2 separate regions of the Mus musculus genome follow, and region 1 is reported to be linked to region 2. The links are microRNA targets in miRTarBase. Many come from high-throughput screens and were not tested one by one. Region 2 holds a microRNA gene; the other region holds the end of a gene's coding sequence.

Region 1 (4,064 bases), not on the chromosome of region 2:
TCAAAGACATCCATTATATGTACGTGGCTACGGCATTATTTTGGATCACAGGACTCATTACTGTGATTGTTAGTCTTCTCACACCACCTCCCACAAAGGATCAGATTCGTACCACTACCTTTTGGTCAAAGAAGACCCTGGTGACAAAGGAGAGCTGTTCTCAGAAAGACGAACCATACAAAATGCAAGAGAAGAGCATCCTGCAGTGCAGCGAGAATAGCGAAGTCATCAGCCATACTATTCCCAACGGGAAGTCTGAAGACAGCATTAAGGGACTGCAACCTGAAGACGTTAATCTGCTGGTGACATGCCGAGAAGAGGGCAACCCAGTGGCTTCCATGGGTCATTCAGAGGCAGAAACACCAGTAGATGCTTATTCCAATGGGCAAGCAGCTCTCATGGGTGAGAGAGAAAGAGAGAAGGAAACGGAAAATAGAAGCCGGTATTGGAAGTTCATAGACTGGTTTTGTGGCTTTAAGAGTAAAAGCCTTAGCAAGAGGAGCCTCAGAGACTTGATGGATGAGGAGGCTGTGTGTTTACAAATGTTAGAAGAGACTCCACAAGTTAAAGTGATCCTAAACATTGGACTTTTTGCTGTGTGTTCACTTGGAATTTTCATGTTTGTTTATTTCTCCTTATGAACTTAAGGATACGGTGAGACACTTAAGAGAAAATACTGGTCTTTGAAAACAAAAATGTAACTGTCGCACCTCCCAGGCATTGTTTACGCTGAAGGTTTTAGCCAAATTCTCCTTAGCAGAAAAATCATCTATTTGTAAGACTGTTTTCCCAGAGATGGGGAAAACGTAAATCTTCAACTTACATGAAACAGAGCAGAGTGAATTGTGCAAAAAATGTGGTTTGAGAGTTTTCTGTACCAAAGTAAGGAGAGACCAATTATTCTCATGTATCACTTAGGACAGAACATGTGCTAAGGTATCGTGAGTAAAGTGTCTTGTCTACATTGCCAAGGCTTGGTAGACCCTCTGCTGAAGGAAATTTGCTCATTTATAAAGGCTTTTGTCTCTAATCCCTGCTACAGTTAAAAAATGAATTTGTAGAGACTGTATGATTAGTTAGGTCCTGAAAGTCTAATGTGTTGTGTACTAATGACTTGAGGACAACTTTGTGTGTGTGGCTGGTCATTAGCACGAGTCTACGGATTCTGCTTGCCAAGAGAAAGGAAGAGCGTTTTCCTGCAGGTCCTTTTGTACTACAGCTTGTATGGAAATGTCAGCAGCCGTGGGGAGCAGACTTGGTTTCCATCTCTTCCCTCTCTTTTTTCCTACTTAAACTGAATCATACTCCACGGACTACCAAGTCTGTCTATAATTTTGCTTTTAATTAGGGGGGAAGTAAATACTGCTGATGATCCCCACATTTATTGATCAGATAAGAATATTTTAAAATATAGTTTGAGAATTATCAGCTACCAGGCAATGACTGATATTTAATGCTAAGTAGATGATGAATCATTTTTTTTTTTACCTGCTTTCTAGCTGCTTCTTTGTCATTTTACTAACATTCCTTATTTGCCAAATGCCTTCCCAAATGGGTCCTATTGTAAGATGTTCAGTATCGTGGAGGAGCGTCAACACTACTTGTGTGCCGGGGTTGGCACTTGCTTAGTTTGTGAAACGTTGTTAAGTTTTAGAGGAACAGTCTAATTCCATTCCTTATAAGTTCTCTTCCTTATTTCTGTCTTTTTTGAAGGCTTGCTGTGTATATACATCTATGCTGTTATAGTCAGTTAGCACATGAGTATGTTTCATTACGAAGTGGCTGTCAGTCATAGAACACTCGGCAGTCTTACTGTTGATGAGAGTAGATTTTCTGTAGGATGGCCAGCATGTTCCTCGGTTGCCACGAACAGGGACTTTAGGGTTTAGCAGTGTGCTTGTGGGGGATATCACACTTGTGGAGGACTCTTGATATTGACCTTAGCTTAGCTTGGTATCCAACTGCCACATTCATGGGCAGCAGATCTTTTTTTGTAGGCTGTTTCTCCTTATTGAAGATAGTGCAGGAGGAATTCGAGAAAAATCCTAGGGATGGTGTGTGTAGTCCTATGTCTTCATCACTGCCTCTTCTCCATTAGAGATGAAGAAAGCGAATTCTGTATCTACTTTCTTTAGGCCGATAACTTTTTAAATTGCATGACTTTTATTAAGCCTTGTACTTAAGGAGAATTACTACTTTTATAGATCATTTTATAGCTTTTCAATCAAACTCAGTCCTGATAACCAAAACAAAACAATACCTTTCCTTAGTTTTTTTTTTTTTTTTTTTTTTTTTTTTGTAATGCATCGACTTGTTTGCAGGCGATGGACGTCATGAGTCCAGTGCTGTTAGGGATCACAGATTGTCACACACAGTCTTCCTATCTTCTGGAGGGTTTCTGAGGGACTGAGTCTGGAAATTGAAAAAGTCATCTCTGTATGAATAGCATGCATTTCTGAAGAACTTAGAGTGCCTTGTACAATTTTTCTCTTAGTTTCTATTTTGAGATTTATAACCTGGAGCCAAGTAGATAGGGGCCATCCTTTTCTTGAGTGGAAAGTTGAGTTAGTTCTCCAAATGTGGACTCAGAGTTTGCCCATGTGTTTGGATGGATAGCTGTGCTTTGTGGCTGTCTTCTCTTAAACAATTCTTTTTGAGATAATCTTTCAGTCTTTGAGAAAGTTACAGAATATTGGGTTGTCCAAATTTGGATTAAGTTGTAGGAATTAACATTTCCTTTGAACACATTCCTATGCAAGTTAGCAGACATTGACACATTGGCCAAGTGGGCTTCCTCATCCTTGTATGTATAGCATAGTGAATAGGAGGTATTATGTGAATTTCTCCCTTTTATTTAGTGCTGAGTCCTAATAATTTGGAATGCTAGAGTCCTCTTACCCCCTTTTTGTTGACTTATAGTAAGATACATAATGTATACCGTAATGTGTCTATCTGTGTGTAAATAGCTGTAGGTCAAGTGTAGAGAGCTAATAAATAAGGAATAGCTTAGCATATGCATTAGATGTGTATTCTTACCACTGCGAACATCACTTTATTTAGTCTGAAGTTTCTAAAGCTTGTCTTCCTTACTGCTTTCCAGTAATAGATACTGTGCTTGAATACGTGTGTGATGGCAGCCTCATTTCAAGGACCAGCCTTTATAGGTCATTACAGTGGTTGTTCTTGGAATGATACCTGATTTTAGACTAGCAAAATGTTCATCCTTCACATGCATATGAGTCCTAAAAGATGGCATGGATCTGTAGACATTTACACATGTGTTTTTGTGTTTGTCCAAGCTAAGCTTTGGAATTGACCAAGATTACATTGACTAAAATAGTGATTAAAAGTAAACGTGAGGTAGGTGAGGCTGTTGGTCTACAGAGGTAGGTGAGAAGTAGTTATCCTCTGAGTGATAGCCAAGCTTCTAGATGATTGTCTTCCCAGGCAGTTCTTGCTTGGATCCAGAAAGGGCTTTTTAATTTAATTTAATTTTATTTTATTTTTAATTTTGCTTTGCGCCAGTGGCTGGGACAATGATTGATGGCTCTTCTGTGGGGTTTCTCTTTCTCTCAGAAGATTGTGTCCTGCCATCCTAAGAGTAAACAACTGGGCTGCTGTTGTTCTAGGAAGTGATTGCTTTTGTTTATAGAGAAGCATCAGGCAGTAGCAGCTGCCTTTGACTCAGATTGAGCGATCTCATCCCCAGGGCTTCCTTTCACCAGCTCGAAGGATCCACTCTTGCACAGAGAGGCTGACCTGGGTAGTCTATCCGTGACTCTTACGGGTGTCACCATAAGTGGTCAGAGATGCTTTGTGAAACTTCCCATTTAAGAACAGGTCAGTGGAGTTATGAGTTCTCTGAGTGAGGTTAAAAGCCTTCTTCAGGGTCGCTATGAATCCTTCAATTCCTACATCAGGAGTCTTTTTTATTCCGGGTGCATGGTCTTCTCATCTCCAAATACCATTTAGTGTAATCTACAGATGAGCCTTATTTTCCACCACATAAGTATGCTTTGTCATTACTCAGTAAAGAATTAGGTCTAATTTGGCTGATATACTAA
Region 2 (4,068 bases):
ATCTTTTTAATCACTTTCATGGGACAGCATTCAAGCATCTATGTTAGGTAAGGAAAAGGAGAACAAGGTGCTAAAATTAAGAATTATGCTTTCATAAAAAGAAAATGAGGTACACTGTGTTAATGAAAGACTAAACACAGAAACGGTTTGAGTCTTTGTTGCCCCATATCCTTACTTTTTCAACATAGTGTAGACTATCCATGTTTCACCTCATGGGTACTTTCAAAATAGAGAATGTAAAGAAAGAAGATAATCTAAAGAAAAAAAAAATAATTTCCTTCCCAGTAATTAAATAAAGTTAAAGGACTTTTATCTCTCTGATCCAGAAGTGGTAGAGATAGAAAGTGAAGGAGAGTATATATATTCCCTAAGAACTTGAGTTAAGGACTCCTGAAACTTCTTGGTAATGCAAGAGTCAGATGAGATGATATGTCTCCATTCATTTTGGTGTGTGCATTGTGATATAGGACAGATACCAGTCACTTTCTACTAACCTCTCTCAATATAAGGATACAGAAAAAAGTAAAACTTGATGAAGATGATGAGGACGATGATGAGGATGATGAGGATGATGATGATGATGATTTTGATGAAGAGGAAACTGAAGAAAAGGTCCCAGTGAAGAAATCTGTACGAGATACCCCAGCCAAAAATGCACAAAAATCAAACCAAAATGGAAAAGACTTAAAACCGTCAACACCGAGATCAAAGGGTCAAGAGTCCTTCAAAAAACAGGAAAAGACTCCTAAAACACCAAAAGGACCTAGTTCTGTAGAAGACATTAAGGCAAAAATGCAAGCAAGTATAGAAAAAGGCGGTTCTCTTCCCAAAGTGGAAGCCAAGTTCATTAATTATGTGAAGAATTGTTTCCGGATGACTGACCAGGAGGCTATTCAAGATCTCTGGCAGTGGAGGAAGTCTCTTTAAGAAAAGGGTTTAAACAGTTTAAACAGTTTGGGGTATCTCTCTCAATATAAGGATACTCATAAAGTACTGTCATTGTAAATGTAAGAACATAGATGCACATGCAAGAGTATTTTCTGATTCTAAGATCGATTGTAGCTACCTTCACAGGACATTGTTTAGGTGAAGATATAGGGGGAACCTTTCATCTAATTCCTATTTCTCATAGGTGAAAATATTTAAAATTAGGGACATAGCACTATGGAAAATAAGTTTAGTTTCATTTTAATTTTTAAGTGCTTTTTAAATTAAAATATTTTATAATTCTCCCCTTTCGTTTCTTCCCTTCAGCCACTCTAATCAACTAACCCCTTTGTTCTCTCTCTCATTCATGCCCTGCTTAGTCCATATTTTGAAAGTTTTATGTATGTTATTTCAGTGCTGACCATGGAAAAGCAGTTGGTGGGCTCTTCTCTGCTGAGTACTATTTCTCCTGAAAGCTTTTTAGTGTCAATCCCTATACACATTAATGTCAGTGAGACTTAAGTGCGTGTACACATGGTCTCTCAGAGTGAGTAATGTTCAACAAGCTCCTTACTTTGTATACCCTGGACCTTATACTTCGTCTTCAAAGGCATCCTTGAGATTGCTACCATTTTCATCATTTCTCATTTAAAGCCCCACTTTTTTAGACTTAAAAGGTGCTTAAGGTTGTACACATGCCTCAAAATGGTCAGAGAGTGCAATTATAAAAGTAATATGTTTATTATTAATGGATATTTAATATCAGCAAAATGAGATAAAAAATTGGGATCACAACATTCAGAAGGAGAAATGAAAGGTGAAGGATTTTGTCATTTCCTGGACCTGTGAATAAAGAAATCTAGTGTTCACCTATCACACTAGACTACAAGAATTGATGAAGGCTCATGAAAACTAGTATATACTGTATTTATCTTCACAGCATACATCCTCAAGGTGAATTTAGACAGGATCCTCAAATATGATGGTTATTACTACATGGTAGAGAAAAAAAGATGAAGCATCAGTCATACTGATGCAAAGCATGCAACTAGTACTTAACTTTTTGTCCAGGACACTGAAATAGGAGTGGGAGAGGGCAGTATGTTGTGTGCAGTGCTGTGTTCAGACTGGTGTCCATCATGTGAAATATTTGTGAAAGACATCATGCTGAATAGAGTAAGGCCCATGATATTCTTCATTTATTATGCCTTAATTGGTCAGAGTGGTGCAGTGCAGTTACACTTGACATGAATCCCTCATTGTAATTAGTCATATGTAACCCTCAGGATCCATATTTATCCAGAGTATAATTTTAGATGTTCAATTTTTACACAATTATAACATGTAGGTTAAAGAAAAAAATACTTAGAAGAAACTAAACCCACAATCAACAAATGATACATCTTTTATCTATGTAGATTTGAGAATCAACACTGTAAATAGAGACCAGGACATAGTATACAGTGAAGAACTAGAAACTCATAGCCTACTGTAGGAATGTTTTCTAATATATACATATAAACAGAAGTGAGTTTTCATGTTGAGTGGGGCAGAATGATTTGTGTGACATGTAGATGAAGGATCTGGGGCAGAGCATTCTCATTAAAGTTCTTGTATGCAGTGCTGTATTCAGATTGGTGCCTGTCATGTTTATAAGAATGAAAGACACCAAGCTGAGTAGAGTAGGGCTTATTGTGTTCTTCATTGCAGGTGGTATTATGTGGTCAGGGTGTTTTATCTGTAGTTACACAAAATGTAACCAGTCCTAATCTGTTACCTAAGTACAATTTTGATTCCCAGTGTTAACTTTATAGCCGCATATAGATTGGAGAATTAACACAAAGTTTGGCAGTCAACCATATAGTAGGACATAGTATGTTATGTACAAGGAATATTCCCTAAGATAGGAATAAATATGATATATGTTAAGGTTTTATACTCATTAAGGCAGATTGATAAATAGGATACTATTAGGACATGATTGAGGCCCGCCCTACATGCTAAAATTCTATACAGAGCCATATTTGCTTAAACTGTTAACCAGTTCTTCTGTGTGAGTAGAATAAGTCTAACAAGCTGTCTCATTACTTTTAGCATAGTGATTTTTGTATAAGTACAAATATCCTAGCATTTCTGATTATGGTGTTCTTTGACTTTTCTGGGCCCTAGGACACCTTCAGGGTTTTTAATGGTGTTGTTGTCACCTTCATGCTTTTTGTTGTTGTTGTTATTCAAAAATTCACATAGGTCCGATAAAATACAGAAGGAAAATTCAATTTATTTATGTGCTAAAAAACATACTTTTAAGAGCCTAAAGCACAGTCTTTAGAATAATTAGATTGTATGCTTGAGGCCCTAAGTTTGGCACGTGGTCTGGCAAGAATGAAGGAAAGGGTATTAAGCTGAGAGTGATGATCAGTTATTGGTACTCAGAGTTATTCATCTTATTGGAATGCAGGAAGAAGATGTCAAATTATATATGCAAGGTGATGTATAATGAGTTTTGCATTCCCTAGGTGTGTTCAGGGTTCAGGCATCCTTCCTGATGTCATAACTTGTACAAGTGATGAATATTATTAGAGGTTATAGAGTTGATAGAGTCAGCACTTCTACATTTGTTTTGTTTCTTTTTTTCTGAAAATGTTTAAGATATATCCTGACCACAATTTCACATCCCCCATCTTCTCTGAGATCCTCCCCACCTTCACTACCAGATTTCTTTATCTTCCTTTAGAAAAATCAGCAAGATAAATGAGTGAATAAAGAATAATTTAAAATGCCCAAGAAACACATTATACACATAAAGAGAGAGAGAGAGAGAGAGAGAGAGAGAGAGAGAGAGAGAGAGAGAGAGGAGAGACAGAGAATACCTACAAAATATAATTGAGTTCATATTGTGTTGGCTGTATAATTCTTGGCATAGAGCCTACAATTAAATGTGGTTACTATACCCAGTGAGATGAAATTGAAGAAAACAATTTTTCTTTGTAAGTAGCTGTCAATTGGAAATAATTTATTAGTTAATGATGGGAATTCATATCCATTTTCCATGCTCACTCATGGGAACATGTTTGGTTTGAACTTGTTCAGGTCCTGTGTATTCTGTCACAGTCTGGATGAGTTCATATGTGCATCAGTCCT

What was found. The annotated mature microRNA mmu-miR-743b-3p reads GAAAGACAUCAUGCUGAAUAGA and lies in region 2 at 2,082-2,103, shown strand. An mRNA with a match to its seed (bases 2 to 7 or 8) in the 3' UTR can be bound and repressed. Matches are read on the target gene's strand: a 7mer-m8 pairs with bases 2 to 8, a 7mer-A1 pairs with bases 2 to 7 and ends in A, and an 8mer does both.
Region 1: the mRNA of Slc5a3 is a reported target of mmu-miR-743b-3p. Seed matches in the 3' UTR shown: 7mer-m8 at 1,700-1,706.

The regions. Positions count from the first base shown.
Region 1 is chr16:92,078,573-92,082,636 of GRCm38, forward strand. It overlaps Slc5a3 (solute carrier family 5 (inositol transporters), member 3), which reads left to right. Exons shown (of 2, transcript NM_017391.3): 2 at 1-4,064. The coding sequence ends at 641. All of the region lies in intron 1 of Mrps6 (mitochondrial ribosomal protein S6), which reads left to right. Among named protein-coding and RNA genes, the nearest start is that of Mrps6, 22 kb to the left of the region's middle.
Region 2 is chrX:66,775,301-66,779,368 of GRCm38, reverse strand. It overlaps Mir743b (microRNA 743b), which reads left to right and starts at 2,037; the gene lies at 2,037-2,113. It overlaps Mir743 (microRNA 743), which reads left to right and starts at 2,551; the gene lies at 2,551-2,612. It also overlaps the pseudogene Gm14681.